Linked DNA regions of Anolis sagrei. The protein of the gene in region 1 interacts with the protein of each later gene in a pairwise test. Links are inferred from orthologs where the notes say so. Each region holds a gene or a part of one and is shown on either strand. Other genes may lie near its edges.

Evidence for each region.
Region 2: the proteins of SH3GL1 (region 1) and MAL2 interact in binary tests that used the Homo sapiens proteins (3 or more experiments, as listed by UniProt). The two-hybrid records come from large-scale screens. The link is inferred for Anolis sagrei from reciprocal best matches to the Homo sapiens genes SH3GL1 and MAL2.

What each region holds. Positions count from the first base shown.
Region 1 is NC_090034.1:56,224,851-56,231,236, reverse strand, and holds the start of SH3GL1 (endophilin-A2), read left to right. Parts: upstream 1-3,273; 5' UTR 3,274-5,282; coding exon 5,283-5,327; intron 5,328-6,386. UniProt on the Homo sapiens protein: Implicated in endocytosis. May recruit other proteins to membranes with high curvature.
Region 2 is NC_090024.1:22,145,106-22,151,491, reverse strand, and holds the start of MAL2 (protein MAL2), read left to right. Parts: upstream 1-2,525; 5' UTR 2,526-2,643; coding exon 2,644-2,784; intron 2,785-6,386. UniProt on the Homo sapiens protein: Member of the machinery of polarized transport. Required for the indirect transcytotic route at the step of the egress of the transcytosing cargo from perinuclear endosomes in order for it to travel to the apical surface via a raft-dependent pathway.

The DNA of each region.
Region 1 (6,386 bases):
CCCTCCAGTGAGCAGTCAGGCATTATGCCCTGGAGGATGGACTGGTTTGATCTTACGGTCCAAGGCACTCTCAGAATTTTCCTCCAGCATCACAGTTCAAAAGTGTTTCTCTTCCTTTGCTCAGCCTTCCTTATGGTCCAGCTCTCCCATCCAAAGTGGCTACGCGGAATACCATTGCTTTAACTATGCGGATCTTCGTTGCCAGTGTGATGTCTCTACTCTTCACTAGTTTATCAAGATTGGTCATTGCTCTCATCCCACAAAGTAAACATCTTCGGATTTCCTGGCAGCAGTCTGCGTCTGCAGTAATCTTTGCACCTAGAAATACAAACCTTGTCATTGCCTCCACATTTTCTCCCTCTATTTTCCAGTAATCAGTCCGTCCGGTTGCCATAATCAAACCTAGCAGTTCGAAAACATGTAAATGTGAGTGAATCAATAGGTTTAACTCTGGCAGGAAGGTAAGGGTGCACCATGCAGGCATGCTGGCCACATACCTACCTTATGCTATTATTTATAATATTATTTATGTTATTTATTTGTCATGTCAGGGCAACCAGTCAATTATATTACATTTCTAACAGAACAAAGCAAACAAACAGACAAAATACAACATTTGTGAGTTTGGTAGTTGATTAAATGTCCTTTGACCAGTATCTGGCCACTTGGAGTGCTTCTGGTGTTGCTGCAAGAAGGTCCACCATTGTGCATGTGGCAGGGCTCAGGTTGCATTGCAGCAGGTGGTCAGTGGTTTGCTCCTCTCCACATTTGCATATCAAGGATTCCACTTTGTAGCCCCATTTCTTGAGGTTGGCTCTGCATCTTGTGGTGCCAGAATGCAGTCTGTTCAGCGCCTTCCAAGTCGCCCAGTTTTCTGTGTGCCCAGGGGGGAGTCTCTCATTTGGTATCAGCCATTGGTTGAGGTTCTGGGTTTGAGCCTGCCACTTTTGGATTCTCGCTTGCTGAGGTGTTCCAGCGAGTGTCTCTGTAGATCTTAGAAAACTATTTATAGATTTAAGTCGTTGACGTGCTGGCTGATACGCCACAGAAGCGACCAGCATTATTTATGTGTAATAATATATTATTTATATTATTATATTCATAATTATTTATAATAATTAATTTATAATTATTTAGAAGGGTTGTCACCAAACAAGTACCTTTTACCATATGTGGTGGTCATGTAAAGAAATAGAGAAATACTGGTCGAAAGTACATGAGGAGTTACAAAAAATTCTGAAGAGAGTTTTCAAGAAGAAACCAGAATACTATCTATTGGGATTTACGGATTTGGAATTACAATTAGATGAGAACGAAGATAGACTATTTACTTATGCTACAACAGTGGAGAGAATATCTTTGGCGAAGCTTTGGAAAGAGGAAGACATCCCTACCATTGAAGAGTGGTTAGGGAAAATAAGAGAAATAAGAGAAATGGACGAATTAACTTTTTTCTTGAAAAAGAACACCGGGAATCCGATAAAGAGGACAGATTGGACTCTATATGAAAACTACGAAAAGGAAAGGAGCAAATAAGAGGAACATTATGAAGTGGATACAATGGAAATATTACTGAGGACACACCTGATGGAGAGATGGAAGTCAATTTTTATCTTATATATATATATATTTCTTTTTGTGTTTTTTGTATTTTATTTTTTACTGTTTTTTCCTTTTTGATCTTTTGGTGGACTTGGGGGTAGGGGGGTGCTTTTCTATTTTTTTCCTACTTTGCTATTCTCTTTTTTAATATTCACCCTCTTTCGATGTTACTTTTAAAACTTTAATAAAAATTATTTTAATATATATATAATTATTTATAGGTAAATAAAAGTAAAGGTTTTCCTCTGACATTAAGTCCAGTTGTGTCCGACTCTGGGGGTTGGTGCTCATCTCCATTTCTAAGCCGAAGAGCCTGCGTTGTCCATAGACACCCCCATGGTCATGTGGCCGGCATGACTGCATGGAGCGCCATTACTTTCCCGCCGGAGCGGTACCTATTGATCTATTAACATTTGCATATTTTTGAACTGTTCGGTTGGCAGAAGCTGGGGCTAACAGCGGGAGCTCATGCCGCTCCTCAATTTCGAACCTGAAACCTTTCGGTCAGCAAGTTCAGCAGCTCAGCAGTTTAACCCACTGCGCCACTGGGGGCGCCATAATTATTTATAATAATATAATATTTATTTATATTATTTATATTATTTGTCGTGTCAGAGCAACCAGTCCATTATATTACATTTCTAACAGAACAAAGCAAACAAATAGAAAAATACAAAACTTGTGGGTTTGGTAGTTGGTTAAATGTCCTTTGACCAGTATCTGGCCACTTGGAGTGCTTCCGGTGTTGCTGCAAGAAGGTCCTCCATTGTGCATGTAGCAGGGCTCAGGTTGCATTGCAGCAGGTGGTCAGTGGTTTGCTCTTCTCCACACTCGCATGTCGAGGATTCCACTTTGTAGCCCCATTTCTGAAGGTTGGCTCTGCATCTTGTAGTGCCAGAGCGCAGTCTGTTCAGTGCCTTCCAAGTTGCCCAGTCTTCTGTGTGCCCAGGGGGGAGTCTCTCATTTGGTATCAGCCATTGGTTGAGGTGCTGGGTTTGAGCCTGCCACTTTTGGACTCTCGCTTGCTGGGGTGTTCCAGCGAGTGTCTCTGTAGATCTTAGAAAACTATGTCTAGATTTAAGTCGTTGACGTGCTGGCTGATACCCAAACAGGGGATGAGCTGGAGATGTCTCTGCCTTGGTCCTTTCACTATTGGCTGCTACTTCCCGGCGGATGTCAGGTGGTGCAATACTGGCTAAGCAGTGTAATTTCTCCAGTGGTGTAGGGCGCAGACACCCCGTGATAATGCGGCATGTCTCACTAAGAGCCACATCCACTGTTTTAGTGTGGGGAGATGTGTTCCACACTGGGCATGCATACTCAGCAGCAGAGTAGCACAGTGCAAGGGCAGATGTTTTCACTGTATCTGGTTGTGATCCCCAGGTTGTGGGATCAACTTGCTTGCGGTTGCTTCTGGATCGAGAATATTTATATTATTATAGTGCCACTGTACGAAAGTTTCCCAAATAGGAGGGGGAAAACCCCTTCTGTCTCCCAAACATTTTAGATCAGCGTGCGATGCTTCCCTCCCGACGACAGGGGGCGCTCCGGCACCGGTCTCCGGAAGCAGGAAGCCGAAGGGTGAGCAGAAGGCGCTCTATCCTCCGGCTCTGTGGTTTGGAAGCGTGTAGGCCGGGCCTTCTTCGGCGGAAAGCATTATCCCTTTGCGCGCATGCGCAATCCAGCGAGCGGAAGTGACCTGAGAGAGAGGGACGTGGAGAGCGAGCGGGGCAGAGCTTGGCGCTCCTCCGCTCGGCTGCTTCTGCTTGCCTGCCTGCCTGCCTCTCTTCCCTCCTTCGTGTCCCATCTCCCTTTTTTGGGACTACTTTGTGTGTCCTTCCGCGCCTCTTGTCTGTCAGGCTCCCTTCTGTGTCTCCTCAGCCTGTCTGTCTTCTCCTCCATTCCTTTCTGTGATATCAACACCACTTCCCTCAGCCTTCTTTCCTCTCAGGGACTATTGGGGCCTTCTCTCTTTGCTCTGCCTCACTGAGGACTAGACCCTTGAGCCTCAGTCCTATTATTATTATTAATATTGGTATTTAAATTGGCCTGCCCCCGTGTTTGGGGTCTTTGGGCTTTAAACCTCATTCTTATTCTCATTGTTAATATTAATATTTTAATTTATCCCCCCAGTTTGGGGCCTTTAGGACTGATTGCACATCCTAATTACTCTGCCTCGTTGCCATGGGTTCTTCCTGAGGGGAATTATTTTTCTTACTAAGAATACAAATCGTTCTGAGTCACTGGCTGCTCCTTAGCCTTATTATTAGCGATAATAATAACATTGGTTGGCTTTGGCCCTCCTTCTTAGGCTTATTATTATTCATATTGCTATTGATATTGGTCTGCTTCCCAAGCTGTTTGCTTTGGGCTGTTTTTTAGGCATAGTATTAGTATTCTAAATCAGTCCTGCTTCTCTTATCAGTTGGCTTTGGACTATTTCTTGGGCTTATTAGTATTAGTATTCTAAATAAATTCTGCTTTTCTAGCTGTTGGCTTTGGACTATTTATTGGGCTTATTATTATTAGTATTCTAAATAAATACTGTTTCCCTAGCTGTTGGCTTTGGGCTTTCTCTTAGGGTTGTTATTATTATTAGTATTCTAAACCAATTCTGCTTCTCTATCAGTTGGCTTTGGACTGTTTCTTGGGATTATTATTATTATTAGTAGTAATATTAGTATTATAAATACATTCTGCTTCCTTAGATGTTGGATTTGGGCTGTTTCTTGGGCTTATTATCAGTATTACTAGTATTATTAGTAGTAGTGGTGGTATTATAAATCAATTCTGCTCCCCTAGCTGTTGACTTTGGGCTACCCCTAAAGAGTATTGTTGATACGGTTATTGGTAATTTCTTCTCCCTTGGCAATTGAGTGCTCCTTAAGCTTATTATTGTTCATAGTACTATCGATAGATACATTCTGCTCCCTTTTGGCTCTTTCTGAGGGTTATTATAATAATTATTATTAATAACATAGATAAATTGGTCTCCTCCCTTGGCACTTGGTTTTGGTGTCCTCAGGTTTATTATTGTTATACATATCTGTTCTGCTCCCCTATCTGTTGGTTTGGGGCTGCTTCTTAAGAGTTATTATTATTATTGTTATTGTATATCAATCCTGCTTTCCTGGCTGTTGGCTTTGGGCTATGTATTCTTATTGATATTATTATAGATACGTTGATCCACTCCCGTAGCTGGGCTGTTCCTCAGGCCTTCTCTCTCTACATTCCTATATGAAGTAAGTACCGATTTGCCTTTCTTTTTCCAGCCGTGCCTTGTCTTTTTGGAGTGAAACTAGCTCCCTTTTCACCTAAACACAGGGAGAATAGTGTCTGACTTTTTTTTGCCATTTCTTTGTGTGGTGGGAGAAAACTTCCCACTATTTTTGGCCTCTCTTTCTGTCTCATAACTCAAAACACTTGCCTTTCTTACTCTTTTCCTTCTACATTTTTGAGGCAGGAAGAGGAGGCAGCTGTCCTGAGTTTGGCTTTAACCCTCTATCTCTCCGATCCAAGAGCTGGACTCTGCCCTGATCCTTTTCCTTCCTTCCCCCAAACTCTCAGAGTAGCCTTGTCCCTTTGTTTCTACTCTTCTGGATCCAAATCTGTGGTTCACCTGCTTTCTTCTTGATCTCACAATCCCTGTGGACTGATTTGGGGATCCGTCGGAAGCCATCATGTCTGTGGCAGGACTGAAGAAGCAGTTCTACAAAGCCAGCCAGGTGAGAAAAGAGAATATGTCTATATATGTGTGTGTGTATATAGATAGATAGAGATATAGATATAGATTTATATGGCAACTTGTTGTCATGAGCCTTTCCCCCACATCTTAGTAGCCTCTCACGGTGTTTTCTTGGCAAGGTTTGCTCCTAAAGGGTTTTGCCACAACTGTCAGTATGAAGTGTTGTCGCTTGTTGTCACCTGCCATCAACTCTACCTTAGGGTGACTCTATGAATGAGAGGATCCATAGCCATCGGCCTTGCAAACTTATTATTTGATGGAGTTGATCCAATAGTGTGATTTCCCCCATTTCCCACTTCTTTCCACTTTGCCAAACATGGGTTGTTTTCCCCCAAAACATTCCTAATATGACGGCCTTTGTTTAGCCGCCCACTAAGCTACCTTCCATTGTGTATCTCTATCTCAATGAGGTTGGTTCTGGAAATATGGGAAGGGGATCAAGAAAGCGGACATCCATGGTTACCTTTATCTCTGTCTTGATTACACTATGCTCCTTCAGCAGCGAGCACAAAATTGCGCGTATGTCCTTTCCATATTATTCTCACATTATGGCGGGCCTTTATATCTGCTGGTGTTTGGTTCCAGAACAACATCCACATCCATTGAACACTCAAGCTCTATTATGCACAGCAATGTTGTTAAATGATGTCCCTGGTTTAAAACGGTAATAATCAAGATTTGCCTTTAGGATTTTTTGCCCCCAAGCCATGGATGCAGAATCCGTGAATATGAAAGGCCAACTGTATCTCAGAATTAGGGACATCTTTCAGGAGTTTGTTGACTCCTTAAGGGATGTTTGACTGGCTGTTCCCTGGCTACTTAGGAAAACAAGATGCTGGTCTCAATAGCTGAAGGGTTGCCAGGTAGAAGCAAGACCCAGCTTGTTTTCTCCTGCTAAGAAGACTAAAAAAGGAACTCATGGATTCAATTGACCTTTAGGTTGCTGTGAGTTTTCCAGGTTGTCTGGCCATGTTCCAGAAGCATTCCTTCCTGATGTTTTACCCACATCTATGGCAGGCATCCTCAGAGGTTGTGAGGT
Region 2 (6,386 bases), on another chromosome or scaffold:
CAGTGTCACCTGTACGCAGATGACGTCCAACTCTGTCACTCCTTTCCACCTGCTACTAAGAAGGCTATTCAGGTCCTGAACCGCTGCTTGGCCGCTGTGATGGTCTGGATGAGGGTGAACAAATTGAAATTGAATCCAGACAAGACAGAGGTCCTCCTGGTCAGTTGCAAGGCCAAACAGGGCATAGGGTTACAGCCTGTGTTGGATGGGGTTACACTCCCCCTGAAGACACAGGTTCACAGCATGGGTGTGATTCTGGATTCATCGCTGAGCCTGGAACCTCAGGTTTCAGCGGTGACCAGGGGAGCTTTTGCACAGTTAAAGCTTGTGCACCAGCTGCGCCCATACCTTGGGAAGCCTGACTTGGCCACGGTAGTCCATGCTCTGGTTACATCCCATATAGACTACTGCAATGCGCTCTACACGGGATTGCCTTTGAAGACTGTCCGGAAGTTTCAATTGGTCCAATGGACGGCAGCCAGATTGCGCATACAACTCCTCTGTTGCGCCAGCTCCACTGGCTGCAAGTCTGCTACCGGGCATAATTCAAAGTGCTGGCTTTAGCCTATAAAGCCCTCAGCGGTTCTGGTTCAACTTACCTGTCTGAATGCATCTTCTCTTATGAATCTGCTAGGACTTTAAGATCGTCTGGAGGAGGCCCTGCTCTCGATCCCACCTGAGTCACAAATATGTTTGGCGGGGATGAGAGACAGGGCCTTCCCAATGGTGGCCCCTCGGCTATGGAACGCCCATCTTACAGACATTAGATCGGGGGGCCCTCCCTCTTAACATTCCGGAAAATGCAGTGTAAAAGATATAGGAACTTTGAACCACTGGACAACGAGATGGATAATGTTTTAAACTAGGAGGTGCAAATGTTTTATGTTTTTATTACTTTTGTTTGGTTTTATACTATGTACTAGCTTTACCCACCACGCGCTGCTGTGGCCAACCTTCCCTCCCTATTTCTCTTCTTCTTTCCCTCCTTCCTTCGCTCCCTCTTTCTGTCCTTCCTCCCTTTTTTCTTTCCTTCTCTCCTTCCTTCCTTCCTTCCTTCTCTACCTCTTTCCTTCCCCCTTTTTTCTTTTCATCCCTCTTTTTCTGCTTTCTTCCTTCTCTACCTTTTTCCTTCCTTCCTTCGCTTTTTGCTTCTATACATACTTCTGCCTTTCCTTCTTTCCTTCCCTCCCTCTCTCTCCTTTCTTCCTTCTCTACCTCTTTCTTTCCTTCCCCCTTTTTCTTTTATCCCTCTTTTTCTCCTTTCTTCCTTCTCTACCTCTTTCCTTCCTTCCTTCGCTTTTTGCTTCTATCCAGACTTCTGTCTTTCCTTCTATCCTTCCCTCCCTCTTTCTCTCCTTTCTTCCTTCTCTACTTCTTTCCTTCCTTTCCTTTTTTCTTACTTTCTCTTCCTTCTCTACCTCTTTCTTTCCTTCCCCCTTTTTCTTTTATCCCTCTTTTTCTCCTTTCTTCCTTCTCTACCTCTTTCCTTCCTTCCTTCACTCTTTACTTCCATGCTTCCTCTCTTTCCATCTTTCTTTACCTCCCTCTTTCTCTCCTTTCTTTCTTTCTCTCCTTTCCTCCCTCTTCCTTCCCTAAATGACCCTGTATCATCATTTAGCTTTTCGTCACTTAGCTTTTTGGGGTTTTTAAGTCCTTTCCACTTTTTTTGGGGGGGGGGGTATGAATGATGGTCACTCATTGGTCTGTTAGGGGTATAGTGCCCAAATTTCGTGTCAATTCGTCTAGTGGTTTTTGAGTTATGTTAATCCCACAAACGAACATTACTTTTATTATTTATATAGATTATTGTGTCAGGCTACACAGAGAAGCCATTGAAATCCACAAGCATGTGGACAATTTCAACAGAAAGGAAGAAACCATGAAAATGAACAAAATCTGGCTACCAGTATTAGAAAAAACTCTAAAATTACAACAGCAAAACAACAGAGAGGAAACAAACAGGCACATAAAATCACTCTCAACAAAAGAGTCCCCCCAGGCACTTCCAAGCCATTGAATGCTAATCAAGGTGATCAGCTGAAACATTCACACCTAGCCCCAGCAGACAAGAGTCCTTTGTCTCACCCAGGTCATTCCACAGATATATAAACCCATTTTTCCTACTTCCAACAGACCTCACTACCTCTGAGGATGCTTGCCATAGATGCAGGCGAAACGTCAGGAGAAAAATTGCCTCCAGAACATGGCCATATAGCCCGGAGAAACCTACAACAACCCAATGTGTTAAATGTTTTATGATGTTCTTGGGCATGGAACCGTTGCTCTGTCAGTCGCCCTGAGTTGCCTGAGGGCTGAGAAGGGCGGTATACAAATAGAGTAAGCACAGAAATCAATAACCCTTGTGGGGAGCCTTCCTGAGATCCAGGTGTGGAGAAGGCCAAGGAGGGAGGGAGAGCAGGTGAGAAAAAATTAGAAGGTGGGAGCAAAAGTAGCGTCGGGAGGAGGAGGAGGAGAAAAGGAGGCGGTGGCGGAGGAGAGGGCGGCGCCCGACAAAAGGCGCCCTCCTCCACCTGCGCTTCTCCTCCCTCTTTCTCTCCCTTCTCACCTTCCCTGCTTGCCTCCCTCGTCGGAGGCCACGTCCGGGCCTTGCTCCCCTCCCTCCCTCCTTCCTTCCCTGCCGCCATGCTCCCTGCCCGCGGCGGAGGGGGCTCCATGCCGCCGCCTCCCACCGCTACCGCCCACTACCCGCCACCTCGCATCACCCTCCCTTCGGGGCTGGAGATCCTGCGCACCTACTCGGGGGCCTTCATCTGCCTGGAGATCGTAAGTCCACCAAGGAGGGGAGAGGAGGGGAGGGGAGGGGGGTCTCCCTCGGGATAAACGCTCAACAAGTGGGAGAGAGAGAGAGAGCACGCTTTGGCTGCACCCACTCTGTACATTAAGTCATGCACCCACTTGTTGGCACCGCTCGAATTGCCCTGGCTCAAAGGCTGAAGAGAATTGTAGCTTGACGTGGTCTTCAGCCATGGCCTTCAAGACATGGATTCAGACAGTATTATTTCAACAGTGTAGATCAGGAATGGGCAAACTTGGGCCCTCCAGGTGTTTTGGACTTCAACTCCCACCATTCCTAACAGCCGGTAGGCTGTTAGGAATGGTGGGAGTTGGAGTCCAAAACACCTGGAGGGCCCACGTTTGCCCATGCTTGGTGTAGATGGGGAGGGGAGGGGAGGAGGGGTCTCCATCGGGATAAACACTCAACAAGTGGGAGATAAAGAGAGAGAGCACGCTTTGGATGCACCCACTCTGTACATTAAGCCATGTGCCCACTTGTTGGCACCGCTCGAATTGCCCTGGCTCAGTGGCGTGGAGTCCAGAGAATTGTAGCTTGACATGGTCTTCAGCCATGGCCTTCAAGACATGGATTCAGACAGGATTATTTCAACAGTGTAGATCAGGAATGGGCAAACTTGGTGTAGATGGGGAGGGGAGGGGAGGAGGGGTCTCCATCGGGATAAACGCTCAACAAGTGGGAGATAGAGAGAGAGAGCACGCTTTGGATGTATCCACTCTGTACATTAAGCCATGCGTCCACTTGTTGGAACCGCTCGAATTGCCCTGGCTCAAAAGCGTGGAGTCAAGAGAATTGTAGCTTGACGTGGTCTTCAGCCATGGCCTTCAAGACATGGAGTCAGACAGTATTATTTCAACAGTGTAGATCAGGAATGGGCAAACTTGGGCCCTCCAGGTGTTTTGGACTTCAACTCCCACCATTCCTAACAGCCAGTAGGCTGTTAGGAATGGTGGGAGTTGGAGCCCAAAACACCTGGAGGGCCCAGTTTGTCCATGCTTGGTGTAGATTTTTTGAGCTCTTGATCGACTCTCTGGTCTTATTTGCATCTGTTGTTGGCAGGTTGGATGTCAAACCAACCAACCAACCAACCCACGGGTTCTTCTATTTCTATGGGTGTCAAATTAATGCAGTTTGACACAAGTTGGACAGCCCTGGCTCAATGCTATAATAATAATAATTATCATTATTATTATTATTGTATTTGGGCCCCCGGTGACGCAGTGGGTTAAAGCACTGAGCTGCTGAGCTTCTTGACCAAAAGGTCGCAGGATCAATTCCAGGGAGTGGCGTGAGCTTCTGCTGTCAGCCCTAGCTTCTGCCAACCTAGCAGTTCGAAAACATGCAAATGTGAGTCGATCAATAGGTACCACTCCGGCGGGAAGGTAACAGCGCTCCATGCAGTCATGCTGGCCACATGACCTTGGAGGTGTCTATGGACAACGCTGGCTCTTCGGCTTAGAAATGGAGATGAGCACCAGACCCCAGAGTCAGACATGACTGCACTTAATGTCTGGGGACAACCTTTACCTTTTTTTATTATTATTGTACGGTTTTCTGGCATTGTATATTTCTGCCGCTTCTGTGATTGTTCATACCACGTGACAGTCACATTGAGGAAAAACAGCAGGAAAAACTCAGCTGTTATCAGGACCTCAAAATCGAACTGCAAAGGCTCTGGCATAAATCAGTACAGGTGGTACCAGTGGTCATGGGCACACTGGGTGCTGTGCCAAAAGATCTTAGCCGGCATTTGGAAACAATAAACATTGACTAGATCACAGTCTGTCAACTGCAAAAAGCCACCTTACTTGGATCTGCACACATCATTCAAAAATACATCACACAGTCCTAGATGCTTGGGAAGTGTTCGACTTGTGATTTTGTGATATGAACTTTACTTAGGCGATCCCTCGTAGTCCAAGGATGATGGTCCTCCAAGTTCAGTGTCCTGGCAGTGGGTCTGTAGGTGACTGTGGAGCCCTATTCTTGATCTGCATCTTCTTCCACTGTGAGGGCATTGGTTTCCAGGTGGAAGGCGGTCTTGGTCGGGGTTAGCTTGACACGCCTTCCTTTTGGCACGTTTCTCTCTTTCACCCTCCATTCGTGCCTCTTCAAATTCTGCAGCACTGCTGGTCACAGCTGACCTCTAGCTGGAGCTGTGTTATGAAATCCAGCACATATATCTCGTTTGCTGTGACAAACTGTGGTTTTGTGTCAGAATAATAATAATCATCATCTTCTTCTTCTTCTTTATTTATACCCCACCACCATCTCCCCAAAGGGGACTTGGGGTGGCTAACATGAGGCCAAACCCAAAAATACAATACAAAGAGACAAAAATTACATTAAAATAAGATACATGAAGTAACAAAATAAAATAAACATTTACAAAATAGCATAATGAGGAGATAGAACACAGTGGGCGAACCAAATGCACAGGATAAAAAAAAGGATAAAACCCTGGATGAGATAATAGTGGGAAAGTGTATTTCTGAGGGAGGAGCTTATAAGGGGTGAACAGTTGGGTTAGACCTAATGCTATGGGAGTTGTAACTTTATCTGGCTTTTAGCCTTTTCTGCCTAAGGGCCCTTCCAGACAGGCTTCATATCCCAGAATCTGATTCCAGGTTTTCTGTTTATCCCAGATTATCTGGCAGTGGGGACTCATATAATCCAGTTTAAAGCAGAAAACCTGGGATCAGAACCTGGCATATTAAGGCCAGGATCTAGAAGGGCCCTAAGAGGGCATCTACAATGCAATTTTGATGCCACTTAAACTATCCTCTTCAATGTGATGATATCACTGGACTTGTCATTTTATATGACCTTTCGGGTTCTTTACCAAAGAGGACTGGTGCCTCACCAAACTATGAGTCTCAGCATTCTGTAGTATTGAGCCATTACTGATTTAATGAATGTTTTATTAATTGTTTTAATAGTTATTATATGTCTCTGTTATATGTAGTGGCATTGAATTACTGCCAAATGTAAGCCGTCCTGAGTCTCCCTTCAGGGGTTGAGGAGGAACAAGATAGAAATGTCGGAAATAAATTAATGGCAGTCATAGTGGTGTCAAGCTGCTTTGTTTCAACAGTGTAGATGTATCCTGTGTTCTTTTCCATACCAAGCCTCGTTGAGTTCACCCAGGGAAAATAGTGCACAAATTGTCATCTTTGTTCACAAGGGATAGGATACTTGGATGCCTGCTTTCAAAACAAAACAAGGTAGGTGCTATATTTGTATGCGTGCATCCACGCTCTAGAACAGTGGTTCCCAACCTGAGTGCCGTGGACCACCAGTGGTCCACAAGAACTAAAATATGGTCCGCCACCTCACCATTACTACACAGTTGCAGTGAGAGCGAGTGGTCTTGCGAAACCCTCTTATAGTACCAAAACTTATTAAATATGTCAACAAAAGTTTGCTCCAGGTACAGTCAGCCCATTGTATGCTAATCAAGGTGGTCAGTTGAAACATTCACACCTAGCTCCAACAGACAAGAGTCCTTTGTCTCACCCTGGTCATTCCACAGATATATAAACCCCTTTTCCTAGTTCCAGCAGACCTCACT